Linked DNA regions of Macaca fascicularis. The protein of the gene in region 4 purifies or fractionates together with the protein of the main gene of each other region. This does not show direct contact. Links are inferred from orthologs where the notes say so. Each region holds a gene or a part of one and is shown on either strand. Other genes may lie near its edges. The genes, in order: DDX46, SF3A2, SF3B5, SNRPA1, SNRNP200, CDC40 and U2AF2.

The links.
Region 1: the proteins of SNRPA1 (region 4) and DDX46 purify together in Homo sapiens (affinity purification with mass spectrometry; 3 studies listed by BioGRID and IntAct, counting the BioPlex papers as one, with this or other methods). This does not show direct contact. The link is inferred for Macaca fascicularis from reciprocal best matches to the Homo sapiens genes SNRPA1 and DDX46.
Region 2: the proteins of SNRPA1 (region 4) and SF3A2 purify together in Homo sapiens (affinity purification with mass spectrometry; 8 studies listed by BioGRID and IntAct, counting the BioPlex papers as one, with this or other methods). This does not show direct contact. The link is inferred for Macaca fascicularis from reciprocal best matches to the Homo sapiens genes SNRPA1 and SF3A2.
Region 3: the proteins of SNRPA1 (region 4) and SF3B5 purify together in Homo sapiens (affinity purification with mass spectrometry; 5 studies listed by BioGRID and IntAct, counting the BioPlex papers as one, with this or other methods). This does not show direct contact. The link is inferred for Macaca fascicularis from reciprocal best matches to the Homo sapiens genes SNRPA1 and SF3B5.
Region 5: the proteins of SNRPA1 (region 4) and SNRNP200 fractionate together in Homo sapiens (co-fractionation; 3 studies listed by BioGRID). This does not show direct contact. The link is inferred for Macaca fascicularis from reciprocal best matches to the Homo sapiens genes SNRPA1 and SNRNP200.
Region 6: the proteins of SNRPA1 (region 4) and CDC40 purify together in Homo sapiens (affinity purification with mass spectrometry; 3 studies listed by BioGRID and IntAct, counting the BioPlex papers as one, with this or other methods). This does not show direct contact. The link is inferred for Macaca fascicularis from reciprocal best matches to the Homo sapiens genes SNRPA1 and CDC40.
Region 7: the proteins of SNRPA1 (region 4) and U2AF2 fractionate together in Homo sapiens (co-fractionation; 3 studies listed by BioGRID, with this or other methods). This does not show direct contact. The link is inferred for Macaca fascicularis from reciprocal best matches to the Homo sapiens genes SNRPA1 and U2AF2.

The regions. Positions count from the first base shown.
Region 1 is NC_088380.1:141,369,609-141,373,338, forward strand, and holds part of DDX46 (probable ATP-dependent RNA helicase DDX46), read left to right. Parts: intron 1-1,713; coding exon 1,714-1,787; intron 1,788-3,376; coding exon 3,377-3,424; 3' UTR 3,425-3,730. UniProt on the Homo sapiens protein: Component of the 17S U2 SnRNP complex of the spliceosome, a large ribonucleoprotein complex that removes introns from transcribed pre-mRNAs.
Region 2 is NC_088393.1:2,892,732-2,897,231, forward strand, and holds the start of SF3A2 (splicing factor 3A subunit 2), read left to right. Parts: upstream 1-1,597; 5' UTR 1,598-2,268; intron 2,269-4,500. Other genes in the region: PLEKHJ1 (pleckstrin homology domain-containing family J member 1), read right to left, coding at 506-572, 668-735, 900-993. UniProt on the Homo sapiens protein: Component of the 17S U2 SnRNP complex of the spliceosome, a large ribonucleoprotein complex that removes introns from transcribed pre-mRNAs.
Region 3 is NC_088378.1:48,298,895-48,301,773, reverse strand, and holds SF3B5 (splicing factor 3B subunit 5), read left to right. Parts: upstream 1-1,676; 5' UTR 1,677-1,752; coding exon 1,753-2,013; 3' UTR 2,014-2,362; downstream 2,363-2,879. UniProt on the Homo sapiens protein: Component of the 17S U2 SnRNP complex of the spliceosome, a large ribonucleoprotein complex that removes introns from transcribed pre-mRNAs.
Region 4 is NC_088381.1:86,346,201-86,350,548, forward strand, and holds the start of SNRPA1 (U2 small nuclear ribonucleoprotein A'), read right to left. Parts: upstream 2,832-4,348; 5' UTR 2,759-2,831; coding exon 2,677-2,758; intron 258-2,676; coding exon 110-257; intron 1-109. UniProt on the Homo sapiens protein: Involved in pre-mRNA splicing as component of the spliceosome. Associated with sn-RNP U2, where it contributes to the binding of stem loop IV of U2 snRNA.
Region 5 is NC_088387.1:1,362,408-1,366,137, forward strand, and holds part of SNRNP200 (U5 small nuclear ribonucleoprotein 200 kDa helicase), read right to left. Parts: intron 3,570-3,730; coding exon 3,461-3,569; intron 1,590-3,460; coding exon 1,481-1,589; intron 1,032-1,480; coding exon 842-1,031; intron 745-841; coding exon 580-744; intron 390-579; coding exon 268-389; intron 1-267. UniProt on the Homo sapiens protein: Catalyzes the ATP-dependent unwinding of U4/U6 RNA duplices, an essential step in the assembly of a catalytically active spliceosome. Plays a role in pre-mRNA splicing as a core component of precatalytic, catalytic and postcatalytic spliceosomal complexes.
Region 6 is NC_088378.1:14,211,599-14,215,873, reverse strand, and holds the start of CDC40 (pre-mRNA-processing factor 17), read right to left. Parts: upstream 2,898-4,275; 5' UTR 2,880-2,897; coding exon 2,691-2,879; intron 1-2,690. UniProt on the Homo sapiens protein: Required for pre-mRNA splicing as component of the activated spliceosome. Plays an important role in embryonic brain development; this function does not require proline isomerization.
Region 7 is NC_088393.1:63,612,885-63,616,614, forward strand, and holds part of U2AF2 (splicing factor U2AF 65 kDa subunit), read left to right. Parts: intron 1-933; exon of another isoform or gene 934-1,051; intron 1,052-1,279; coding exon 1,280-1,415; intron 1,416-2,252; coding exon 2,253-2,297; intron 2,298-2,591; coding exon 2,592-2,695; intron 2,696-3,058; coding exon 3,059-3,210; intron 3,211-3,730. UniProt on the Homo sapiens protein: Plays a role in pre-mRNA splicing and 3'-end processing. By recruiting PRPF19 and the PRP19C/Prp19 complex/NTC/Nineteen complex to the RNA polymerase II C-terminal domain (CTD), and thereby pre-mRNA, may couple transcription to splicing.

The DNA.
Region 1 (3,730 bases), on a different chromosome or scaffold from region 4:
TGTTTTCCTCCTAAATTTCATTTTTTGTTGTAATTTTCAGTCTGACTTGGGTCTTGATTCTTCCGTTTCTTTTCCCTTCTGGCACTCACCTTCCCCACATAGTTTTATAATGTTGTGGTTCGTGGCTAGTGGAGGTAGAGGATTTAAATTAGATATGTTGCTATGACTTCATAGCCATAGCCTTGATTCTTTCCTTCCTGTCGTGAAACTGTTTCTGCCTCTCTTTCTGTCTCTGTCTCTGTCTCTCTCTCGGGACAGAAAAGTTACTTATTTCTAATACGGGGGGAAATTTTCTAATTTATTATAAATCTTTCCCTCATTTGTGTTTTTTAATATACAAAATGATAAAAATATAGCTCTCTACATTGCAGACCCAGTGCTCCTTTTGTTCTTAGACATTTCAGTCTTTAGTTTTCTTTGATTAAGCTCTTTTTCTCTTCTCAGCGTGCAATGTGGTGCCTATCTGTACTTTCCTACTCACTGGCATTGTCTATTGGCTCCAGATTCTACCCAGCCTACCCTTGATGGCTCTCTGATCTCTGCCACTTCTAAACTTCTAGTCCATATTTCCATTGACCTCATTTATATTTTCAACTGGATGTCCAATGAGCACCTCAACTACAGCAATTTTAGAATTAAATTTCACCCAGTATCACTATCCAAAAAACACTTGTTTTTCCTCCTGGAATCAATATATTCTTTTATTACTTCTACCTTTTTTCACTTGCCAGCCAGCTCTTAATATCTTGTTTCTCTTTTCCACTGTTCACATCCCATCAGAAAAAATATCTTGTCCATTCTACCTCAAAAATGTGCTCTTGTGATGGTATAAATACAATATTGTGAGAACACTAAAGAAGAAAACACTTAACTGCCTCGAAGAGTCAGGAAAAGCTTCCTAAAAATGGTATTTAAAAGTGAATTTAGTAAACTACTTCCTATTCATCCTGTTGTAATGTCTTTACAAGTTTGTTTTGCTAATCTGTATGCTTTTAAAGAGCATGAATTTGTTCTTTATATATTAAATCTCTCACAGTATGTGAGAGGCAAGTGCTTAATTTTTGTGAAATTAATAACTGTGAATGAATGTCTGCAGCCTGCCTCATCTAGTCAGCTATTTTGCCGTGTTCTTTCACACATTTTTCCAACCAGGCTACACTTCTCTTACTCTTCAGCAATTAAGCATGCTTGTCTTAACTCTGTACCACTACATATGTAATTCTCCTTGCAAAATACTCTTCCTGGTATCTTTCCTCCCTCCAAGTGGCTAGTCCTCCTTTCATTTTAAAGATTTTGTTCGTACGTCACCCTTCTGAAACATTTGCAGACTTCAGTGTAAATAATAAATGTCTAATAAATACTTGCTAAATGAATAAACCAAGGAAGTTATATTTCCCTGTAGCCTTCTCTTACTATCTTCTGGACAAATCGCTAATAGTCTTTTTATTCCACTCTTTTTAGTTACCATACTAGGAACTCTTAACACATAATATGACCTCAGTGGTTACATTTGAAACTCTGAAAGTAATCAAAATCATAAGCAGCCATTATATAATGTGGGTAATGTTCCACCAGGCATTAAATGGCCATCTTGGCAGGCAGTACAATGTTTCTAAAAGTCACCTACAGTGTTTCTTCCTGGACCTCCATGATATGGGTAAACACAGTGTAATTTTAGTAATGTGAATAAGATGCTTTCCACTCAATCACCAGGTGCCAATGAACTGGCTGTGCAGAAAGCAAAGGCAGAAATCACCAGGCTCATAAAAGAAGAGCTGATCCGGCTGGTGAGTGAAAACCTTAAAGTTTCATTTGTTTTGTTTTAATAAGTGTTTTATTGAAATATAAATACAGACAAGTACGCAAATCATAAACATATAGTTTGATGAATTTTCACAAAGTAATAAGCATACCAGTGTAATCACTACCCAGATCAAGAAATAAAAAACATTACTAATATCCCAGAAGTCTTCTCCGTGTCCATTCTTATCACTATTCATCTCCCCGCAACAAAACTGTACCTTGAATTTTTTTTTTTTTTTTTTTTTGAGACGGAGTCTTGCCCTGTCATCTGAGCTGAAGTGCAATGGCGCGATCTCGGCTCACTGCAACCTCCGCCTCACCCTCCTAAGTAGCTGGGATTACAGGTGCCTGCCACCACACCTGGCTAATATTTTGTATTTTTAGTAGAGACGGGGTTTCACTATGTTGGCAAGGCTGGTCTCGAACTCCTGACCTCATGATTCACCTGCCTCGGCCTCCCAGAGTGCTGGGATTACAGGCGTGAGCCACCGTGCCCAGCCCCATATTGTGAATTTTAAAATCATAGATTAGTTTTCCTTATTTTTGAACTCCACATAAGTGGAATCACGTGTTTGCACCTTTTGCATCTAGTTTCCTTCAATCAACATTTTGAGGAGATCGGTCCGTGTTATTGCATGTAGCAATAATTCACTCATTTTCATGGCCATATAATATTTATATGAATGTATAACAGTTGATTTATATTTATATATTGGATTTGAGGGCTATTCCTTTTTTGTTTTTATGAATAACACTTCTGTGAACATTATTCCATGTGCATTTGGAATATATTAGCATGATTTTTTCTTGGGTATATACCTTGGAGTAGAATTGTTAATTATAGGCTAGGTATTGCCAGATAGTTTTCCAAAGAGGTTACATCAATTCACACTTAATCAAGCAGTGTATGAAAATTACAGTTGTTCTACATCTTTGCCAACACATGGTGTTGTCAGTGTCTTTAAACTTAAACAATGACTTAATTTGATTTTGGAAAAAGCCCTTTACAGACTGCCTTTGCAGTGGAGGTAGATATGTCCTTGTGTCTTTAGTGCCGGTTGCAGCTTATGAACACTCCCTACAGTGTGTACATTTCCTTTGAAAGGAAACGTCTTTTCTCTAAGTGTACTTCTGAGAGCTTTTCTAAAACTCCCCTCAGAGAGCATTCCTTTTTTTGGCGGGGGGGTTAGAAGTTTAATGAAAAGAGGGTTCAGAAAACAAGAGGGAAAAAGTAAAACAGCTGTTCAATCACGTGCTTAAGACTATTTCAACAAGGAGTGATAGAAAAGAATCTTGTGCCCATAGATGCTACCACCATTAAGTTGATTTCAAAACATAGTTGTTAAGGAATAGTTAAGTGAACAGAGAAATCATTAGTTATTGAATAGTTTTTCCTTTCTCAGTGCAGTAATATTAACATTTAAAATTTTAAATAACCAATAGTTTTACAAGTTAGCAAAAGAAATGATCTTAAATATTTCCCTTTTGGGTTTGTTTGGTTGGTTGGTTGGTTTTTTGTTGTTGTTGTTTGTTTTGCTTTCTCTGATGACATATCTTTTATTTCCTATTACAGCAAAATTCATACCAACCAACAAATAAAGGAAGATACAAAGTCTTATAGACATCCGGAAAAAAGATTTTTACCTCTGCTGGTCTATGATAGATGTGGCAGTTGCAGTCTGCAGTTTACAATGTATTGTAAATTAAGATTTTTAAAAATTCTGTCTTGCTGATTTTTTTTAAATACAAGAAACTAGTATTTGGTAAAGAAATCTGTCCGTAAGTACCCCCACAATCAATCAAACTATATTTAAAGCCGGCCTGTTTTCAGAGTGTGATGTCCTTTAATGTAAACTTAAATATCAATATTTTAAATGTCCGGATAATATTCTAGAGGTTTAAAAAATGGAAATATTTGAACTTTCTA
Region 2 (4,500 bases), on a different chromosome or scaffold from region 4:
TAGGACTTCTGGCCTCCAGAACTGTATAGAATGTTTCTGATATCTAAGCCACCCGACCTGTGAAATTTTGACAGCCACTCTGGCAAACCAGCAGGGACTCCATCTTTCCCCGCAGAAGGGAATCTCTTAAGACCCAGGAGAACACCCCCCTCTCACTCCCCCTACCCCCACCTAATGCTAGACCCATGCTAGTTGTGGCAGTTGGGAAACGCTTTGGGTGGGGCTGGCCCAGCCTCTCTGTGAGTACAGCCTGGGCCCACAGGGAAGAAAGAGCAGAATCTGGAAGGAACCCAAGCTTAAGTGGACTTGGCAGGTGGGCGGGATGGTGCCCGCCAGGAGAACCTGACCTTGAGCTGCCCGTGGACAATGCATTCTTATGTCTGGGGAGGGTGGCGCCAGGCTGGGGACATAGAGGAGGCCTTGAGCGCCTGGGGAGGGGACAGTTGCAGCGCTGCTGGTGCCCCGGGCTGCGGGAGGCGCCGCTGGCTTCCCTAGCCCCACTCACTGATAGAGAAGGCGCCGGGCTCTTCCCGGATGACTCTGCACCGCTCCAGCAGCAGGGCTCCGACGGGCTGGAGGAGACACGGGCGCCGGGACGGAGCAGTGAGCACCCGGCCTCCGCGGGGCCCCAGCCTGGGACCCGCCCGCGCGCCCTCGACGCCCCTACCTCGGCCTCGTCTGTCCGGAAGTAGAAGAGGAAATTCACCACCAGCTTCACCAGCCGCCGCTTCAGCACTGCGGGCACAGCGCGCGCTCAGGGGCGCAGGCAGCCCCCGCCCGGACCCCGGCCTCCCGCACCCGGCGCCCCGACCCGGAATCCGGCCTCCGGCACCCGCGCCCGGACTGCGGCCCCAGCCTTCCGCCCCTGGCACTGTCCCGGTCTCCCGGGTCCCGCTCACCGCTGCCCTTCTTGGGGCCCCTCATGCCCAGCTCGGCCGCCATCTCGGCCGGCTGCCGGGACAGCGCCTGCAGCTCCTTCTCGTTGTACCGCATGGCTTCGCGGGGAACGGGAACCTGGACCGCGCCCTCCCGGCCGCCGTCCCCGTTCACGCCGGGGCCGGCGCCAAAAAGGTCTCAGGGCGCAGACACGGAAGCACCGCCGGGGCTAGTGCGCCTGCGCACTTTGGGCCGGCCATGCCGCCAGTCTCCAGTGCGTGGCGCTGGCGACCTGGGGCGGGGGGCGGGGGGGCGGTGCACGAGTTGGTAGCGGAGACGGACAGTCGTTACATAACCATTAAATTGAAATAAACCAGACAAAGGTGGAACAGCATCAAGGCACCCCCGCGATGGCTGGCACCCCTTCCTAGAGCGGCCAGGCGCAGGCGGAGGGAGCGATAACGTCTCCCGAAGAATGTCAGCCGCCCCTCGCGAAAGTTAGCCCAGCGCGGCCGCAGCGAACCAAGGGTTCGTTGGGGGCGTTGTGCGCACGCGCGGTTTGCCTTCCAGGCCGGGCGTTCAGCCCCGCCCCCTCCAGCCCTTTCCCTCGCGCCTCCTGACCCTCTGACTTGCGCCGCTGGGCGGGCCGGGCATGCGCACACCAGAGGGCCCGCCCCATTTGCCCCGGAAGTGCTTTCTTTGACCGCGACGCGCGTGCGCCGAACGAAGTCGTGGCGGTGGCGGATCGAGGAGATAACGCGCCCTCAGGCTCTGGTGAGGAGTGGAGCCGGTTGAGGGTGGCGGCCGACTCGGACCGGGGGTTCCCTGGGGAAGAGCGGACGTAGGAGAGAGGAGCTTGCGACAGGCCGCAGGCCGAGGGGCGGGCGGCGGCGTCGCTCCCCTCCCTCCTCCCGTGAGCGTCCGGCCTTGTGCATCCTGTAGGTCCCGCGTTGGGCGGGCCCGGAGGGTCGGGCCCCCTCGGAACTCTATTTCCAAACTCCTGTTGGGAGGCCGCGCGCGGGGGCTCACGCCTGTAATCTCACCGCTCAGGGAGGGCTTGGCGGGAGGATCGCTTGAGGCCAGGAGTTCGAGACCAGGCTGGACAACACAGCGAGACCCCATCTCTACAAAAAAATTTTAAAAATTAGCCAGGAGTGGTGGTTGTACCTGTAGCCCCAGCTACTCGAGAGGATCGCTTGATCCCGGAATGTCGAGGCTGCAGTGAGCCATGATCGCAATTGCACTCCAGCCTGGGCAACAGAGCAAGACCCTGTTTCACAAAATGAAAAAGAAACAACTAAGACTCGTTGGGATCAGATCGGGATCGCGGCTGAAATGGTTTGGGCCTCCTTCCTTGTAGCCGAGAACGCTTCTGCATGCTAATCTATACCTGTGAGTTCACTGGGGCTCTGTGATGTAACTCCTGTAAGCGTCATTCCCCTTAAAACGGGAGTGACAGCTTCAACACCATGCCAAAGGGGACCAGAAAACGTTAGCTGGCCCCATTTTGCAGGTGCACATGGCTGTGACCGTTGTTCGTGTGTATCCTTGGAGAACACCAAACAGCCAGGGGGAGCTTTGGAAAAGAGGTTGTTTGCTGGGTTTAACGAGAGAACGGTGTTGCCACCAAAAACTAATTCCTTCCCGCTGGTCCAGCCCCAGGTCTCGGAGGCCACCTTTCCTCAATTCTTAAGTTCATTTCCCCTGGTCGTCGTCGGTTTTTTGTCTCTCTGTTTGTTTTGAGACAGTGTCTTGCTCTGTCACCCAGGATGGAGTGAGTGCAGTGGTGCCATCACAGCTTACTGCAGCCTCGAACTCCCATGCTCAAGCCGTCCTCCTGCCTCAACCTCCCAAGTCGCTGGGACCACAGGTGCTCACCACCATGCCCGGCTAATTTTTGTATTTTTTGTAGAGACGGAGTTTGGCCATGTTGCCCAGGCTGGTCTCGAACTCTTGACCTCAGGTGATCCTTCCCCCCCCCACCCCCCCACAGCCTCCCAAAGTGGTAGGATTACAGGCATTAGCCACTACACCCGGCTCTTTTTTCTATTTTTTTGTAGAGATGGGGTTTTTCCACTCTGTTCCCTGATCTTTACTTTAGTAAATAACATACTTCTTCCTGGATTTATCAATTTGTAGACATCATCTGCTGATTTCCTGTCACGGCTGTTGAGATTTTCTCCCTCCTATCCACCCACTGCACCTTCGCCTTCCATATCCTGAATGAGTTTCTGTCGTGAGCACAGTTGGTCATTGGTTGTATTTTTTAAATAAGATGCAAAATGTTGTTGGCTGCTCAGGGCCGGGCGCAGTGGCTCACGCCTATAATCCCAGCACTTTGGGAGGCCAAGGCAGGTGGATCACGAGGTCAGGAGATTGAGACCACCCTGGCTAACATGGTGAAACCCCGTCTCTACTAAAAATACAAAAATTCAGCCAGGTGTGGTGGCGGGCACCTGTAGTCCCAGCTACTCGGGAGGCTGAGGCAGGAGAATGGCGTGAACCCAGGAGGCGGAGCTTGCAGTGAGCTGAGATCACGCCACTGCACTCCAGCTTGGGAGACACAGCGAGATTCCATCTCAAAAAAATATATGTATATGGCCGGGCGCGGTGGCTCACGCCTGTAATCCCAGCACTTTGGGAGGCCGAGGCGGGCGGATCACAAGGTCAGGAGATCGAGACCACGGTGAAACCCCGTCTCTACTAAAAATACAAAAAATTAGCCGGGCGCGGTTTTGGGCGCCTGTAGTCCCAGCTACTCGGGAGGCTGAGGCAGGAGAATGGCGTGAACCCGGGAGGCGGAGCTTGCAGTGAGCCGAGATCGCACCACTGCACTCCAGCCTGGGCGACAGAGCGAGACTCCGTCTCAAAAAAAAAAAATATATATATATATATGTATATATGTATATATGTATATATATGTATATATGTGTATATATGTATATATATGTATATATATGTGTATATATGTATATATATACACACACACACACACATACACACATGTATATGTATATATATTTAGTTGGCTGCTAAAACAAGTAATGTGTTCAACTGGGCTTTTGTTGTAGCATTCTATTTTCCCTTAAAGCTAATTAACTTTGTTTTTACCATTAGCCTTTCTTTTCCCTACTGTTTGTTTATTTCCCCACAAAGCTCCAGCATCTCACACCTATCAGTTGTGTTTTGCACAGGTTTAAATGAATTGATCTCCCCCTCCCCACTGCCCTCCAAGACTCCCGTATCCTCCTCCTCCAAATGGGACTGATTGTGCTCTGCCTGGGTGGAGCTGGTGTCCCAAACCTTCCTGTCCTTGCTGCCCTGTGCTGACCTCTGTTCCCAGTGTGGCCATCTTTTCCTCTTCCTGCTGTCAGAGCAGAACTTCTGGGAGCTTTGGAAGAAATAGATGATTTTTTTCGGGGATGGGGGAAGTCTTTGATTGCCTGAAAATGAGTTTATTTACCCTCATAGTTAGAAGTTTGGTGGGGTATAAAAATCTAGATTGAAAATCCATATTTGGCCGGGCGCGGTGGCTCAAGCCTGTAATCCCAGCACTTTGGGAGGCCGAGATGGGCGGATCACAAGGTCAGGAGATCGAGACCATCCTGGCTAACACGGTGAAAC
Region 3 (2,879 bases), on a different chromosome or scaffold from region 4:
TAAAGTTTTCCTTCCCTTCCGTTGTAATAGAGTTATTTAACCATTTATCAAATTTTTGTTTTGGATTTTTTTTTTCAAGTAGCTTCTACCCATGTAAGGAAGTTATTAAACCAAACGGTAGGATATAAAGCAATAACAAGGAAGAGATGTATAACCTGCAAAGAGGAAGGAGAGTTTACATCTGTCTGGAGCAGCCAGAGAAAACTCTAAGGAGATGCATTTGAGCTGCCTTTTTGGGAGATGTATTCACCAAGGGAACAGACATTCCACGTAGAGGGAACAGCTTGTACAAGAAAATGGGTATGGGCACAACAGGTAACACGGAGAAGTACAGTTGTCCCTCAGTATCCGTGAGTGATTTGTTCCATGACTCCCATGGATACCAAAACTAGAGGATGCTCAAGTCCCTGATATAAAATGGCTTGTATTTGCACATATGCACATTCTCCTGTATAGTTTGTCTCCAGATTATTTAACAATACCTAATACAATGTAAATGCTATGTAAATAGTTGTTATACTGTATTGTTTAGGGAATAATAACCTTAAAAAGTCTACACTTCAGTACAGACTGACTTTTTCCCCAAATATTTTCAATCGGGTCGGTTGAATCCACAAAACCCACTGAATGGAAGGGCCAAGTAGGGTGCAGTGAGGCCTTGGAGGAAGGATATCAAAATAAGTGGCTAGAGAGGAAGGAGGAGCTTGAGGTGGAAGCCGGAATGTGTGGGAATTGGTGCTGTACTTGCTCACCAAGCACCCTGGTTAGAGCTGAAATAACTCTTTTATGCCACAGACTCCTAAGAGACATAGCTGGGACCAGAACTTGTGCCTGCCGACTTCTGGGAAATCCATCCCTGGTTGTGAAGGGATGGCTGTGCTACCATGATAGCTTTGGAAAACAGGGAGAGTTTATTTTCGGGGCTGCTTGTAGTCCAGTCCTACTTGGGTTTCCCATTTCCCATCAGCCCCAAGCCACCCACGGATGCTCCCCACCTCCCAGACATCACCCTCCACTAGGTCCCCAGATCACTTTTAAAACGCGACCAGGGGCCTGGCGCAGTGGCTCACGCCTGTAATCCCAGCATTTTGGAAGTCCGAGGAGGGAGGATCACGAAATCAGGAGTTCGAGATCAGCCAGGCAAAGACAGTGAAACCCCATCTCTACTAAAAATACAAAAAAAAAAAAAAAAAAAAAAAAAAAAAAATTGGCCTGGCGTGGTGGTGTGCGCCTGTAATCCCAGCTACTGGAGAGGCTGAGGCAGGAGAATCGCGTGAACCCAGGAGGCGTTAAGTTGCAGTGAATCGAGATCGCGCCATTACACTGCAGTCCCGGTAACAGTGCGAGACTCTGTCTCAAACAACAAAACGAGACCAGGAGTTCCAGAAGCCTACGAGCACGAACTCCCAAGACCACAAGTCCCAGCATGCAAGGCTCCCTGTTGGAAAAGGGCTTCCCATAGCCACCAAGTGGACCATCATGCAAAGCTCTCTGACGGGGCGGGGCTCTCTACAGGGGCGACACACTTGTGGCGTCGCCTCGGCAACTCCAATTCCGTGACAGAATGTGCTTCCGCTTCCGCCTTTGAGCCCTATGAGCGAGACTTACGCTACTTAGTCGTCGTGACGCCATTCTTCTGCGACGGCGCGGGCCGGGAGCTTCCGCACGGTGGCCTCACTCCCGCGTGAAACGCCAGAGCGGCGATTTGTTGTCTGCGTCCTCTGTCCTGGGAACTAAGGGGAAAGCGGCGAGATGACGGACCGCTACACCATCCACAGCCAGCTGGAGCACCTGCAGTCCAAGTACATCGGCACGGGCCACGCCGACACCACCAAGTGGGAGTGGCTGGTGAACCAACACCGCGACTCGTACTGCTCCTACATGGGCCACTTCGACCTTCTCAACTACTTCGCCATTGCAGAGAATGAGAGCAAAGCGCGAGTCCGCTTCAATTTGATGGAGAAGATGCTTCAGCCTTGTGGACCGCCAGCCGACAAGCCCGAGGAGAACTGAGACTCTGCCTTACCACCACTGTGCGGGGCACCTCTCCCAGTGTTCCTCAGGTTGGCCAATCCCTTCGACTATTTCTGCCTCCAAAGGACCGGCTCTCCATGGCTCCTGCGTCTGGTACTTCCGCGTACAGAAGTGCTTGCCCGGGGAATCCCGCCTGACCTGCCTTCATGTGAACCCTTTGGAATAGCACTGGGAGACCAGCAGAACCCCTGAGAACTGTGTTGGTGAAGAGGGCCTAGAGCCGGCAAGCGTTTGAGAAGAGGGCGTGGCGCTGGAATGAGATGGGATTTGGCGTCTCATTTTTGGCTAATTGATTGTCATTGGCTTTTTCCATAAAGTTTAGAAATCATTCACTCTCTTGGTGTGAACTTCCTGTGTTAGGGTGGAGGGCTCCTGAAAGACCCGAGCGGGAAATGGGTCGGGGGAGGGAGTGCATGCCAGTGTCCATGATCAGGTACTTAAATCCACCCTGTCTACCATTATAATTAATTCCCCGACTGCCACTTCTCCCAAGAGCGTTATTTTCAGGCCCACAATGCCTTCAGTATTGAAGTTTGTGGTTATTGTATCCCATTTTCTTTTTCTCCCGTTTTAAAAGTCTTTGCAGTCTTTGCTGTCATTGTCCTCCTTAGCCTCTTTAAAATGCATCCTTTCTTTTTCTTGGGAATTTGTGGCCATGTCTCCAGAAATGACAAGCTGGCAAGTGAGTTCATCCTTTCTATATTCAACAAATATTTGTTGAGCTCTATGTGACAGGCATTTTCCCATGGTCTTGAGGCTTACATTATGCTGGTGGTGGAGAAAGGAGGTCAAACACTGTAGACGTAATAAGTAAATGTTAGAAGATGCTGCGGGGAGGGGAGAAC
Region 4 (4,348 bases):
TTTAAAAAACCATGTAGGTTTAACCGGTAGTACGTGCTACAACTTCTTCAGGGAACACTGCAACATTTACCCTAGGGGGAAAAAATTACTTTCCCCTATAGGCACTTACCATATTCTGTTGTTGTTCACTAACAATGTTTTCAGTCTTCTCAACAAAGGAAAACCATCCAGTTTCCTGATCTCATTGTCAGAAAAATCAATAGCATCAAACTGGTCTAATGTAGCACCTAGATTTTCAATGACGGGAATTTTATACCCTGTAAAATGGAGGAAAAAAAACACACAAGAGGTATTAATATAACTAAACAGCCCCTTAAAACATTAGCAGTATTTCATAGTATCTGATTCCAGGCTTTGATTTATTCAGGAAGCATTACCTAGCACCTATGCCATGTCATACATGCCTTGCCACTGTACAAGATACTAGAGAGAAAATGCTGAACGAGTCTCAAGTACCCAGTGCCATGAAGCTTACAATCTAATGACAACAAGGACAAGAACAATAATAATGGGTGATATAGGTAGCTAACATTTATAAGAACATTTACAAGGTGCCTCACACTGTTCTAAGTCATTTGGGCTAGTTAAGCGGAATCCGCACAACAGGAATTTACACTTTGAGCTGCTTAGTCTCAGTGCCCAAACAGCGTTCAAACATTGTGGATAACAGTTCTCCACTCTTGCATCTCCACGGGCCAGATTCTTAGAACCCATCAGAACAGCCTCAAGATATGACAGTTCTCCCTCCCCTCCCCCAGCTACAATTTAGAGTTGAAGAACTCAATGGTTTACATAGAGTAATAAACCTGTGAACACTCAAATGTTAATTTGTCCAATTTGAGCATAATTACTGTGTTAGGCACTATAAGAAAAGAAATATTCTGAAGAAGCAAGGTCTACTAAAAAAGAATTCACCCAAAGTTAAAGGGCACAATTCAGAGCTATACTACACGTATTGCATCAAAATACGTATTCTCAATATTGCACGTACTCCATAAAGAGAAATGGCAGAGATCATCAAAAGTGGTGAGTTGGGCCGGGCGCAATGGCTCAAGCCTGTAATCCCAGCACTTTGGGAGACCGCGGCGGACGGATCACCTGAGGTCGGGAGTTCGAGACCACCCTGACCAACATGGAGAAACCCTGTCTTTACTAAAAATACAAAATTAGCTGGGCGTGATGGCGCAGGCCTGTAATCCCAGCTACTCGGGAGGTTGAGGCAGGAGAATCGCTTGAACCCGGGAGGCAGAGGTTGCAGTGAGCTGACATCGCGCCATTGCACTCTAGCCTGGGCAACAACAGCGAAACTCCGTCTCAAAAAAAAAAAAAAAAAAAAAAAAGTGGTGAGTTGCTCTTGAACTGAACCTTTCTCTAACAAACTTAATTTCAACAAAATAAAAATACTGGGGGCCGAGCGCAGTGGTTCACGTCTTAATCCCAGCACTCTGGGAGGCCGGCGGAGGCGGATCACCTGAGGTCAGGAATTCGAGACTAGCCTGACCAACATGGCGAAACCCCGTCTCTACTAAAAATACAAAAATCAGCCAGGCGTGGTGGCTCACGCCTGTAATCCCAACAACTCGGGAGGCTTGAGGCACAGGAATCACTTGAACCGGGGAGGTGGAGGTTGCAGTGAGGCGAGACCACACCACTGCACGCCAGCTGGGGTGAAAGAGCGAGACTCCATCACATCACAACACAACACAACACAACACAACACAACGGGATTTCCCAAAGGTCAGCAAGAAATCTAAGCAGAACACAACACATAACACACCACAACGGGATTTCCCAAAGGTCAGCAAGAAATCTAAGCAGAACACAACACACAACACACCACAACGGGATTTCCCAAAGGTCAGCAAGAAATCTAAGCAGATCCCGCAGCGATGCTGCTCCAAAGCCATAGGTCCCCGTGGGAACAAATCTCAGGCTACGGCTGCATGGTCTTATCCCCAGAGAAGTTGCTCTTCACATCCTTTTTAAAGTCGTCTCCTGAAATGCCAACTAGCTAGCTGCCCTCCCAATATCTTACCAAGTCTTGCTAAGGTTGAAATAGTACAGGAATCTGAATAATTGCGAGCGCTTCCACAACTTACACACAGCACAGGGCGGTGCAAACCTGGGTCACACAGTTCAATTTTTAAAACGTCTTCATAAAGGGGAAACGCCAGACAAAGCTACTAAGTAGAAAATACTAGGGGAAACAATCGCTGTTGTTCGGGGACTTGGTTTACTCCCTCACATTAGGAACAACGAACACATATCCCATCTACGCTCAAAATATCGTCTGGCGGCAAGTATTAAGAACCAATCACTCGCCCTGCACTAGCGTTACAAACATTAACGAGCCGCTCTTCCGGGCCCTCAAACAGAGCCAACTGCGAAACAGCCAAGCAAGGCCTAATAGAGCCCCACGAGTATGCACCAGGAAGTAATGAAGTCACTCGTGCCTGTCAAGAGGCACGGCGGTAAGAGAAGGCTCCAAGAGCCTAACGGGATGCTCATTTGGCAACAACGGCAAGAATCAGGCCCCGCGTTCCCTGCGCAGCCCGGTCGGAGCCCAGACAACCGGCCCGCGGGCCAAGCTCCGGCCTTCGGTGCACGCGGCAGAGCGCGGATAATAAGGCGACGCGGTGCCGCCCGGGGGCTGGCCGCCCACGCCCTCGGACTCACCTCGGAGGTCCAGCTCCCGGTCGCGCACCGCGTTGGTGTACTGCGCCGCCTGCTCGATCAGCTCCGCCGTCAGCTTGACCATCCTGCTGCCTCCCGTCTCCTCGCGCCGTGGAAAGCCCGTGGCCTCCCGCCAGCGAGACGTCCCAGCGTGCCCCGCGCCCCACCGCCAGGCAGCACCAATCGCAGCCGCCGAGTGCGCGCGCAGCTCGCCCGCCAGGCCGAAGCAATCGAAGAGCCACGCCTTCGGGGTCGTTCTTGCCGGAAGTCTTGCCGGGCGCGCAGGGGCTGTGTCTGGTTCTGGGTTCTTTCCTGGGGTGTGTTTGGAGTCTGGAGAACCTATGATTCCAGACGTTGGTGTTTAAAAGTTAAGGCGAATGTGGAAACATCCGAGGGGAACTTTTTCATGCATTAGCGCACCTTGAGGTGGGACGGGAAGCTGTGACTGCTCTCCCTCCACCAGCCGGCGCGGGGACCCGTGGGGTTCAGTGAAGGGTCCAGGAGTTCAGGTACCCGTCCTGGGCCTGGGCCTTGGCTCCGGGTTACAGTGTGAGATCCCGGGCTAGGTGGCCCGCCTGGGGCAGGTCGCCGGGACAACCCCACAGCTCCGCAAGTCCAACCTGGCCTAGGGCATGGTAGGGTTTGCGGTTAAGCTTGTGGCCTTTAGACTTCTGAATATTCATATGAAGTATGATATACAGAAAAGTGTGCATATGATGAATTTACAGCGTGATTAATGACCAGAGTGAACACAACTGCTTAGCCGACACCGAGATCCAAAAAACCACTATTCTGAAAGCCTTCCTCTTTCCCAAAGGCAACCGCGAACTCAACACTACAGATTCGTTTTGCTTGCTTTTGATATAAATAGAATCATGCAGTATGCTTTTTTTGGCCTAGTTTCTTTGAGTCTATATTATGTCTGGAGTCCATCCAGGTTGCCTACAGAGATGGTTTGTTTGCTTTCGCTGCTGAAGAGAGTTCCATCGTATATATTATACCATAAATTACTTATTCTGCTGTTGATGGACATCAAAGTTGTTTTCTGTTTAGGGCTATTCTGAGTAATGCTGCTATGAATTTTCTGGTACGTGGATCTGATGCACATTTGCATGAGTTTTTCCTGGAGTGGAATTGCTGGGACATAAGGTATGATATCTATCATCAATAAGTAATGCCCAACAGTTATACTAAGAGGCTGAAATAATATACACACTCCAGCGGTGTGTAAGGGTTTTCATGGCTTCCAGCTTCAGCCTTGTTTGCATTTTAAGTCTATAACTTTAGCTATTCTGATGGGTGTGTGGTGGTATTGCACTACTGCTTTGCTTTTCTCTAATAACTAATGAAGCTGAGAACTTTCTCATGTGTATGGTGCCCATTCTGATAGCTTCCTTTGTGTTCTTTCGAGTCCTTGGCTCATTTTTTTCCTTATGGAGTTGTCTGCCTTTTTTCTTATTGATTCTTGGAATTTCTTTATATATTAGGGATATGAACACACGCTGTGGCTTGCCTTTTCACTCTTAATGGTGTTTGATTAGAATTTTTTTTTTTTTTTTAAGACAGGGTCTCGCTTTGTCACCTAGGCCAGAGTGCAGTGGTGCCATCAGGACTCACTACAGCCATGACCTCTCAGGCTCAAGAGATCCTCCCCCTCAGCCTCCCAAATAGCCGG
Region 5 (3,730 bases), on a different chromosome or scaffold from region 4:
AAAATAGTTGGTGATGAACAGGTGACCCTGCCTGAGACTGGCTCAGGCCAAAGCACCACATGGCCCAGGCTCACAGCCCTTCAACACCCCGAGGCACGTGGGTGGCAGTGGGATGGAGATGAGTGTGAGGGAGGTATGGAGGGGAGGACATATGGTGGGGGTCGGGGGATGCATAAGGGGGTGTTGGTGGCAGGGACGCCATGTGCTCTGGGCACACAGGCAGAGTTCGTTGTTCCCAGGACGTTCTCCTGAAGCTGCCGTCCTCACCTGCCTCAGCAGGTTGTCTTCATGGTGCCGGATGGGAATGTTCTCGTACTCTGCCGCATTGGAGATGATCTCGATGAGCCCTCGCACCTTGGTCTTGGCATTGAGGGACATGCTGAAGAGCTCTGACAGAAAAAGGACATTTGAGAGAAGCCGAAAGCAAGCGGAGAAGGAGCAGAACTGCCTGGGCTGCCCTGCTCTCCCCTGCAGTGTCATCCCGCTGACGGACACGGGCAGACCTCTCATCCCAGTGGGCTCCTGACCCCTGTGTGAGAAGGCTCCTACAGACAGGACCCGGGCCGTGCCGGGCCTCACCAATGGTGGTGTAGTTGATGTAATAGTAGGCAGCGATCATGCCCAGGTTCAGAGGTGCCACATCCATCTCGTCCTCGATGCTGATGCACTTGGACTGCTCCAGGTCACTCAGGGTCTGCTCCACCAGCTCTGACAAGTGGTCGGACAAGTGACGATGGGAGATGCCTATGGAGGTGAGAGGTGAGTGGGGAGCCTTGAGAAAACGCCCAGCAAAGGCTGTGGGAAGCACCAAAGAATCACGTGTGCTCCCAAGCCCACTGACCCTGCAGGTTGTAGTAATTGGGGTTCTGTGTCATGCGGCGGTACAGAAAGGTCCAGGTGAGGTAGTCCACAGCGTCCTGCTTGTTCTCAATGGTCTTGGTGACGATCTCAGCATTGAAGTGGTCATGCATACAGTGGTCCAGATGAGACTCCACTGGCAATGGCTCATATAAGAACTTCTTGAAGAAATCCTGTGGGTTGGAGAAGCAGCAGCATTAATCAAGAATTAGTGACAACATGGTCACAAAGGGCCAAGGGCAAATCAACAGGGCATGGTCCCCGTGCAAGACCTAACTAATACCAAAATGGAAGAAGCTACAGGTTTAGAAAGTGCGTCACTGGCGACAATACGCAGTGGGAACAGAGGCACAGCAAGTCACAAGGGCAGAGCAGCGGGCAGCCCAGTGAGGAAGGAGGGAACCAACTAGCGGGCAAAGCCCTCAACACGTGGAGCCAACGGCAGCAGCAAAAGCAAAAGGCAGCAAAATTCCAAACGGGTGGCAGGCTCGTTACAAAAGAATTGTGTAAATAAGAGAGACAGAAGTTAAGAGACTAAAATTACTGAAGACGTCTATCAAAAGGATTAAAGAATCCATTCTGAGGCTCTGGATCCAAGAGGCTGCATGAATCCAGGACTGACCTTCTTGGAGCCCTGACACATGATGACGCAGCGTCCCTCATCATCCTGCAAAGGGCGGTTGGCGTGACCCACCATCTGAAGCACGTCATAGATGGGGTAATCCACATAGCTGGTGACAGATGCGGGGAAAGAAGGAAAAGCCGCCTCAACACGGAGACCACGCTCAGGAGGCCCGACTCCCTTCGCCAATTAACAGTAAAATGTAAATACGGGGAGGCATGGTCAAATCACAGCACGACTCTGTTTATGAATCTCTGCACTTAGAACTGGCTTCACTGGCTGGCCTCTACATCATTTTAGCATTCAGTGTAAGGGCCATGAATTTGCTGCTCAAGTGCCATGAACCAAGCTACAAAACTATCTAATGCCAAAACCAAAATAACTTCCTATTCGAGGATCAAATATGTAAGTCAAACTTCCCAAACTTTTCTCCTTTAATTAAAAAAATTATTTATTTGTTTGTTTGTTTTTTGATAGAGCATCTTGCTCTACTGTCCATGCTGGAGTGCAGTGGCACAGCCACGGCTCACTGCAGCCTTGACCTCCTAGGCTCAAGGGATCCTCGCACTTCAGCCACCACAGGTGCGCACCGCCGCACTTTCCAAACTTCACAGCTGTGCATTTCATGAGTCATCAAGTCACCTGACTTTAACCCAACCTAGAAGCAGCCTCAAACATTAAAAATGAACCCGTAAATAAAATTCACTTCAAACTAATCCGCATTTCGGGAAAAAGTTATTAAGCATTGGGCCAGGCACCATAACTCACGCCTGTAATCCCGGCACTTTGGGTGGGTGAATCATTTGAGCTCAGGAGTTCAAGACCAGCCTGGGCAACACGGTGAAAACCCATCTATACAAAAAAAAAAAAAAAAAAAAAAAAAGCAAAAGTTAGCTGAGAGTGGCAGCACATGCTGGTAGTCCCAGCTACTTGGGAGACTGAGGCAGGATGATTGCTTGAGCCTGGGAGGCAGAGGCTGTAGTGGGCCGAGATCATACCACTGCATTCCAGCCTAAATGACAGAACAAGATTGTCTCAAAAAAAAAAAAAAAAAAAAAAAAAAAAAAGCAGATGTTTTTCTGAGAATGATTGACTCTTCTAACTTTTTTTTTTTTTTTTTTGAGATGAAGTCTCGCTCTGTTGCTCAGACTGGAGTGCAGTGGCGCGAGCTCGGCTCACTGCAACCTCCCCCTCCCGGGTTCAAGCGATTCTCCTGCTCAGCCTCCCAAGTAGCTGGGATTACAGGCGCGTGTCACCACACCTGGCCTTTTTTTTTTTTTGAGATGGAATCTCACTCTGTTGCCCAGGCTAGAATGCAATGGCACAATCTTGGCTCACTGCAACCTCTGCCTCCCAGGTTCAACTGATTCTCCTGCCTCAGCCTCCTGAGTAGCTGGAAGCACAAGCACGTGCCACCACGCTCAGCTAATTTTTATACTTTTAGTAGAGACGGGGTTTCACCGTGTTGGCCAGGCTGGTCTGGAACTCCTGACCTCAAGTGATCCGCCTGCCTCAGCCTCCCAAAGTGCTGGGATTACAGGCATGAGCCACCGCGCTCAGCACTCTTCTAGCTTCTTGTCAATCCGCCTGCCTCAGCCTCCCAAAGTGCTGGGATTACAGGCATGAGCCACCGCGCTCAGCACTCTTCTAGCTTCTTGTCACTATATAGGTGTATGACCTTGACCAAGTCGCTTTTCCTAATCTACAAGATGTTTGAGGTTAATGACCTAATGTCAAACATTCCTCCTGGCGCTAACTGCCTACCTCTCCCAACTGCGGAATGTGGAAGCACAATGACTAAAAAACAAATGTGAGCCTAGGTATTGAGACACAAAACTCCTAAATACTTGGCTCTGGTGGCATCTCAGCTGTTAACTTCCCTAACACCTTTCCTTCATCCTAGCTTGCTTTCTGTGTGTCTGCAGATTCACACTCATTTTAGGAAGATCTGGGCTAACACAGACCACCAGCTGTACTCACGCGTGGATCTTGCCATTGTAGTACTGGGTGTCCATGATGATTACCAGGTGGGCAGCCACGTTCATGCCCCAGCAGAGACTCCGAGAAGCCACCACCACCTGGATAGCCCCTGAGCAGAAAAGGGGAGAGAAGGCTGAGGACAGGGGTCTCTGGGTGAAGCAGGTTCACTACCTCATGGGCAGGCCGTGGCTTACCCTGTGTTACGTTTCAGAACTCACAGCAAGGCGGGCTAGGAACAAGGTCTAACATGAATGAGAGGTAACACATTGC
Region 6 (4,275 bases), on a different chromosome or scaffold from region 4:
TTTCATTCTATTCTCTTACCAAATATACTTCCGTAATCTTGTGTACTAGGCACCGGAGACACAAACGAACGGATACGTCTCTGGACCCCAGGGTCTCACAGTCCAGGGCAAAGAAAAAGATGAACAAGTCACGGCAATGTGCTAAGTGCTATAGTTAAGATATGATAAAGGGGCTAAGGTAGAATAGGAGGAAACGCGCAGTGAGACTGAAGGACCATAGTGTTTGGAATGGGGGAAGGAGGCACTAGGCAAGGGATTTCCAGGCAGAAAGACTAGCGTGGGCAAAATCTTCAGAGGAAGAAAGAAAATTTGGCTTTCAGGGCTTTGTAAAGAGTTCAGCATGGGAGAATAGCAGCCCTCACATGCTACCAAAAAAACTTAGAAATTACCCACTGGACAATATGGTGTCTTTGGGCAGGGAAGTGATAGGACGCAAGTGGAATTTACAAAGATCATTCTAGGTGCCCTGTGGAGAAAAGAATGGGGTATAACACTGGGAGACAAGAAAGGAAGAAGTAGAAATATCAGTTAGAAAGCTACAACTGTCTGAAGAGAAATGATGAGAATCTGAACTAAGCAGTGGCAGCAGAAGAGAGAGATTTGATGAATATCATTGAGTTAAAGTGGACAGGACCCACTATCCAAAAGAAGAGGCTGAAAGAGAAAGAAAAGAATAACTCCTGGGAGAAATAAGGAAGATATGAAGCCTGCACCAGTGAAAATAGTGAGGAAGGAGTTGATATGAGATAAATTAATGAAACAGAAATGTTAGAATCAATTGAATGACTAGCTTCAGGGGCTGAGGCAGAAGGAAGAGAAAAGGATACCTCCTTTGTTCTTGGCTTGAACTAGTGGGTGGATCGTGGGATCATAGATCAAAATGGGGAAAACAGAAATGGATTTTGAGGGAAAGAAAATAATTTTTCAACACATTGAACTGGAGGTGGCTGAGTGCCAACCTGCAAGAAACAAATGTACAATTACAGTGGGAGATTTTTATATACCTCTCAAGGTTGTAAGCTAGCAAGGAGGATAGAACTGGAAATAAAAGGATAGCAAGCATGTGGCACTGTTAAAAGGGCTTTACATCTTTTATGGCAATTCTTATAATTCTGTTAGATCGGTACTACTGTTATTCCTACTTTACAGATCAGTAAAAATTAGGTGCTGAGCATTTAAGCAACTTATCCAAGGTCCCCAGGTGGGTAAGTGCTGGAGGCAGGATTTGAATTACAGTCTTAATTCCAGAGCCTGTGCTAACCATTTCACGGTGTTCACCTTGAGCTAGGGGCAGCACAGACTGAGGTTGAAGGTATGGAAGAATATGTGGAATGCAAAGAGGACCAAGAGCAGAGTCCTGGGAAACACCAGTATTGAAAAGGGAGAGTAAAATAATTGGAACAGAATGCTGAGTAGAGCCCCATGGAAGCGAAACGGAGAGAAAGTTTCAAGAAAGAGGAACTAATGAACAGTGTCATTTGATGCAGACATTTAAGTCAGATGGCTGAACTTGACAACTGCAAGGCCTGGGACATCACTCACAGACAGTTTCCCAAGAGGGTAGGGCCAGACTGCATCGGGTTGAGGAGAAAATGAGATGAAGACAAAAAGAGAGCTCCAAAAAGCTGAGCTGTGAAAGGAGAAGACTCAGGAGGTTACTGGAGGGGCGTAAGTTTGGAAAGTTTTGTTTTGATAGGAAGTTAGGATTCTAAGCATTCTTTCATGCCAGATGCCCATTTTTAAAAAGTAAAATTCACAGACAGCTTGTTAAAAATCTGTAAAACACTTCTTAAGTCATTAAACTAGACTTAGGGACATGATACAAAGGAATTTTTGGACACCGCCTCCCATCTTCACATCTTGAGCTGATCACCTACCTCGGGCTCTACTGGGCCTACACTATCAATTGGTAGATGCTCTCATCAGGCTCTAGACACATCAGCTTTTCCTCAGTTCTTCAAACACACTAAGCTCTTTGCCTTCTCAGGCTTGCCTGTCACCTTTGCCTGGAAACTCTTGCCTGAATCAGCTTCCTCCATTGAGATCATGCAGCTGTTTCTCAAATCCAAGGCCTTTTTCTCACTGTATTAACATACATAATCATAAAACATTTACTGCACTCTCACTAGTTACCAGGCTCTGTGCTATATGCTTTATTTGTGTAATTTCACTCAATTTTCACACTCATCTTCTCATGTAGACAGGTGTTTTGAAAATGATCTCTGCTTGTACAGGTGAGGAAAGAGAGGAGGCTGCATAACTTGCCCAAGTTCACATAAGTGGTGGTGCCAGGATTAGAACCCAGTTTTTCAAAAATAAAACAAATCGAGGCCACTGCTCACTTCAAGTGAAGGTACAATACTCTAGTTTGGGAAGTCCTGATCTAATTTTATTTATGTTCCGAGATTACATCTGCACTTTACAGGCTATGTCCCTAATTCACAAATTCAAATTTCACCCCCTCTTTCCACTTGCTTTCTGATGGCGGGAGGTAAGGGCAGAGAGCATCGGAGGGCTATTCCGAACTTCCAATTCTGCTTCTCCCGAGGATGCATGTGGGAAGGAGAAGAAATTCAAACGTTAGCAACTTATCTCTGAGCAATGAGGTAAGCCGGGACCTAACAAGCGGCTGGCAGTTTTAGAGCTGAAGCCAACAATTCCCACACCGCATCAGTAGCAAAGGTGCTTACCTTAACTGCCACCTCCGGAGCCGAGTCCACTGCCACTGCTAGAGACGGCTTGGCTGAAGGCGATTTAGTCAAGTGCATGAGGGAGTCGGCGGCTGGCAGCGGACATCGACTGCTCTCACTGTCCGAGTCAGATTCGGACCCTGAACCCGAACCGTAGGAAGCGGCCAGAGCTGCAATCGCAGCCGACATGACGGCAACAAATCTTCTGCGGGGACCCTGTCAGGGCGGAAGAAGAGGAGGCTCCCAGGTCCTGACAGATTGCCATGGAACCCATCATTAACTTTCTTTGCTAAGAAATAATTTCTTACATTTTAAAACAACAAGCTAATTATTATTAGAATAACTACTGTCGAAATGAGAGCTTAAAAAAGTTTATCTAGGGAAAAAGAGAGAATTATAATAGCTTATAACTTTCAGGACCTAGTTGACTAAAGAATACGAGTTCCAAAATACCTTGAGGCCTCGCGGTCCTGCACTCCCAGCGTGCAGCGCGGCAGGAAGCACCAGAGGGCACAATGGGAAGTGTAGTTTGGAACGAGGGGGCGGGACGGGGGCGGGTCCCTCCTTGACCCCGCCCCCGAATGGATGTTCCATTCAATTGGCTGTCATCTTCCCTCATTCCCGAGCCAAGCACTGTTCTCTCCGTCCCCCTCCCCCAAACTGAGGATTGGGCAATACCACAGAACCTCAGGAAAGGGGGGAAGAGCGAGCTTCGGCCCCACCGATGGAGGAGTGGGCGGAGGCTGGGTTTCCCACCTCGACTGCACCTGGGCACTCGAGGGTGAAGAGGAAAGTGAGAATCTGAAGTTTTGAGACCTCTGACTGGCCGGGAATAGCTCCTGGGGCAGGGGGCAAGGATGGGACCATAGCCGGAGAGAGTCCCGCGGTCCCCCCTGCTTCTGGCGCGGGTCCCTGCGTCCGGTTGTGGAGCGTCTCGCGCGGGGAGGGGGCGGGGGGAGCGGCAGCTCGCGGTGTTGTTCACTCGCGCGTCGAGCACACGGTGGGTCCGGCGGCCGGTGGGCGCCCCAGGCGGCGTTCCCAGTGGCCTGGCGCCTCGGCCGCTGTCCTGAGCGGGTTCCGCCCCAGAGCCCGACCCTCCTGGGAGCCCTAGGTGGAGTCCCGCGAGCCGAGGGGGACCGGCGACCGCTGCCGAAGCATGAAGAAGGGGTAAGCGAGAGCCCCCAAGATTTCACGGTGAGCGCGAGTCCCTGAGGAATTGCTTTTTTCGGGGAGGGGGTGCTGGGAGAGGAACTCTTCCTCACCGGCCGGAGCAGACCGAGGGGTGTGTGGCCCGCATAGGTGACGGGGATGGATGGGCGCGCCTCCCCCGCCCCGGCCCCCACCCCCATCCGCGGGTTTCCCGAGCGCCCACCGCCCACCCGCCAGCCGGGCTGGGTGCCGAGGGAGACGGCGGCGGGCGCGCCCGGGGTTCGGCTGCAGGGACCGCCCCGGGGCTGCTTTCGCCGGAGAGACTGCGGGTCTCACCTGAGGTGCCACCGCCCGGGCTTCCCTGCCCACCCGCGCCCACGGTCCGCCCGGTGCCTCTTTCCGGGGGAGGCGGTAGCCCCGGGCGACAGAGAAACCT
Region 7 (3,730 bases), on a different chromosome or scaffold from region 4:
CGAAACAGTAGTGAGGATTAAGAACAAACAAAGCTATTTAGTACAGAAGCATCTCAGTATTTGTTTCTGTTTTTTTCCCTTCTGGGTGCATATTTTTCTGAGTGTTGGTGGTTTTGGAATTGTGATGCTTTTCCAAACATTCAAATTGCATCACAAAAACATAAGACAAAACGCTGTGGGTGAGGCTAAAGTTTAACATCCTCCCTCAGTGCCTTTTCCTCCTCTTGTCCCCAGGGATGATCACTCCAGGAGATGCGTGTTAACATGAGCACCTTAACGTGTGCATCTTTTTTGTGTGAGTGCTTCGTGGCTAGTTGAGAAATCTGGGTGTCTTTGAATTAAGGAAATGGTATGGCGGTGCTCATGAACACCCTCAATGCTCATGCTTTATTCTCCATCTTAAAGGGCCGGTCGTCCTTCTTCAGGGGTTGAAGGGTCTGGTGAGAGCAGAGGTCTCTGTGGTTTTAGCAGCAAGGCTCTGTTTCTAGTGGCTACGTCAGGCAAATGCAGGGTTGAGGGAGCCGGCTGGAGGCTGGCAGAGATGCATGCCCCTACCCTACAGTACAGCCTCTCCAGCGCTTGGCTTTGAAGGGAGTGAGGCCGGGAGAATCAAGTGGTTTGGGATTCAAGTCTGGATGGGGCAAGCTCCTCCCCTGTCCTGCTGAAGGAGAGGAGGGCCTCTTTCCCCTTCAGTCTGCGGATTCTCTGAGGCCCTTCCCTTCCCCTGGGGAAGGGTGCTTGCTTCTGCATTATTCACTGGCTTGGGAAGGGATGGGTTGAGTTTCCCTGCTTCCTGGGGACATCAGATCCTGCCTGGCACCTGACCCCCAGGCCTGATGGTGGGGCTGTGGGTGCCAGCTGGTTGCAGAGGTCTTTCCTGAGGGGTCGCTGGGTCCCTTCAGGAAAACATCATTGGGTCTCTTGATTCCCCAGCCTCTAGCCCTGCCCCTCTCAGGGACGACCCTGGGGTCAGGCCCCTCAGCCCTCGAGGGGACCAGGAGCCAGCCTCCTCTGTCTTCTCTGGCTCCCAGCTCCTCCTGAGCATCCTCAGGTATCTCACACCCCGGGGGCATTTCCAGGCCCCGTCCCCCTGGTCCCCTCGTGGTCCCTGGACTCGCTTGTGGACCCAGGAGGCCTGTTAATTCCCTTCCTCCATTGGATCCCTTCCCTTTGGGGGTGGCCTCCCTGGGGCTGGGGACATAGCCACCAGCGCGCAGGGTGGGCTGGGTCCGCAGCCTTACTCCGCTCATCCCTTGCCCCTCCTCTCACCCTTGCCCAGAGAGGGACAAGGAGAACCGGCATAGGAAGCGCAGCCACAGCCGCTCTCGAAGCCGGGACCGCAAACGCCGGAGCCGGAGCCGTGACCGGCGCAACCGGGACCAGCGGAGCGCCTCCCGGGACAGGCGGCGACGAAGGTACTAGGACTCAGGGATCCTCCTGGGGCAGCCTGGGAGTCGGGGGGTTGGTGTTGGCCGTCCTGTGGGTGGCCTGTGCGTGTCTGTCTGGGCCCGGGCCCTGTGTGGCTCGTTTGTTCTTCGTATGCATCTGGGGGAGGGATCTACTGCTTGGTCTGTCTTGAATTCCGATTTTTTTCCCCTCTTTCTGGGGTTTCTTTCATTTTCTCTTGGTGGTTGCTGGTGGGTTGCTGGGGGCAGTAGGTTCTTTATCTGGAGCCTGGGAATTGATTCTGTGTTTTCCTTCACAAGGGGCTGTTCTCTGTCTCTGACTCTGAGGGCCTGTTCCTTCTTTTCGACTCTCTGTGGCTCTCTGTGGGACTCTCTTCGAGGGGGTTGGTCTCTGCCTCCAGTTTCTTTCTTCCCTGCCTCCCAGGAGAAGGGAGCTCTTGGGACTGAGGCAGTATCCACAGCCTGGGCTTACTTTCTGGCCCAGGGGTGTTGGTTTCCACCGCCTCTTCCCTTCTAGGCTTCCCTCTCTGTTCTCTGCCCCCTTAGGTGAGGAAGGGCAGGATAGGCGGAAGTCCTCCTGCCTCCTCCCAGCTCAGTTTCTCCAGCTAGAGACCGGTCCTTCTTGGCCCCTGGCCCCTGGCCCCTTTCTCCTTTCCTCACTTCCTCTTTCCTGGGGGTTGGGAGTGTTTGGGGGGAAATAGCAGGGCCGAGGGGGGCCTGCTTGCTGCTTGTTCACCTCGGCCCTGCTCCCGCCCTGGGGCTCAGTGCCCTTGGGGGGGTGTGGCATGTGGGGAAGACGAGGGTCCCCAGTCACCCCTCCCCATACCTTTCCCTCCCACCCCCCAGCAAACCTTTGACCAGAGGCGCTAAAGAGGAGCACGGTGGACTGATGTGAGCTTCTCTTCCTGCCCCTTCCTCCCTGATGTCCACTCCCTTCACCTTCCTCACGCCCGTGCACCCTGTCCCGCCCGTTTCCAGCCCTGGCCCAAGCACTGGGAAGAGTCCACTTACCTTGAAACCAGCACCCCTCCCCCAGGCCCTGCCCCAGACCCTCTCCTTCCCTGGAGAGAGTGGAGCTTACATGGTTGGGGGGAGGGTGAAAGGGTGCCTGGGAGGGGGCTTGCAGGCCCCCTGTTAGTCAGACTGAGGTTGCCCTGCCCCGCTCTCCCCTCCCACCTCCCCCAGTCGTTCCCCCCGCCATGAGAAGAAGAAGAAGGTCCGTAAATACTGGGACGTGCCACCTCCGGGCTTTGAGCACATCACCCCAATGCAGTACAAGGCCATGCAAGGTAGGGCCCTGACCGGGCTGCTCCCAGAGCGAGAGGGTGCAGGGGCTGGGATTCTCCGTCAGTCATTCCCCTGCGTGTGTGCGTGGAGGGGGTCGAGGACACAGGTGGAGGGTTGCACACCCTTGGGAGGTCTGGTCTCTGTGCTTTTGAGGCCTCCCTCTGGACGCCATTAGGAAGTGAGGCTTCTTAGGAGTAGCAGTTACAGGGTGGGGGTCCCGAGGTGGAAAGAGGATTCTGGAAGGTGCTAGGGCCGAGAGCCTGTAGGAGCTTTTTGCCGAGGAGGGGAACTCCCAGCGTGTGGTGGGGGGAGGTCACTGAACACTCCCCTGATGGGGTTTTATCCTGCTTTTACCCCCTTTGAAGCTGCGGGTCAGATTCCAGCCACTGCTCTTCTCCCCACCATGACCCCTGACGGTCTGGCTGTGACCCCAACGCCGGTGCCCGTGGTTGGGAGCCAGATGACTAGACAAGCCCGGCGCCTCTACGTGGGCAACATCCCCTTTGGCATCACTGAGGTACTGCCCTCCCCCTGCCCTCCCCTCTCCCTTGTCCCCTACCCCATTCCTCCCCTTCCCTCCATTCCCTTTCCCCAACCTGCACGGGTCAGACTCTGCTCCTGCAAGCCCCCCCGGCCCCCTCCCAGACGGACCGATGGAGTTGAGCCAGCCAGGGGCCGGGCTGGGGGTGGCCCTCCCTCCCTCCTCTTCCCTCTCCCGTCTCCCCTCCCCCCAACCTCCTCCAGCAACCCAGGGATCAAGCACACACATAATGTACCCACGTGTTGTACCTACGTGTCGGAGAGAGACAGAGAGGGAGACTTGGACACACACACACACACACACAGACGCACGCTGCCCCTCAGTTTTTTTCTGACACGCCTCTCCTTCTCTGCCGCCTGTCCCCCATCCTCTCCCCCACGTCCCTCCCATGGTCGCTGTTCTTTTATTTTTGATCGCCCCTGACCTCCCCCTTCCCCACCACTCCTTTTCCCTCTCCCCTCTCCCCAACCCCTTCCTGTGGCACCCCCTGAGAATC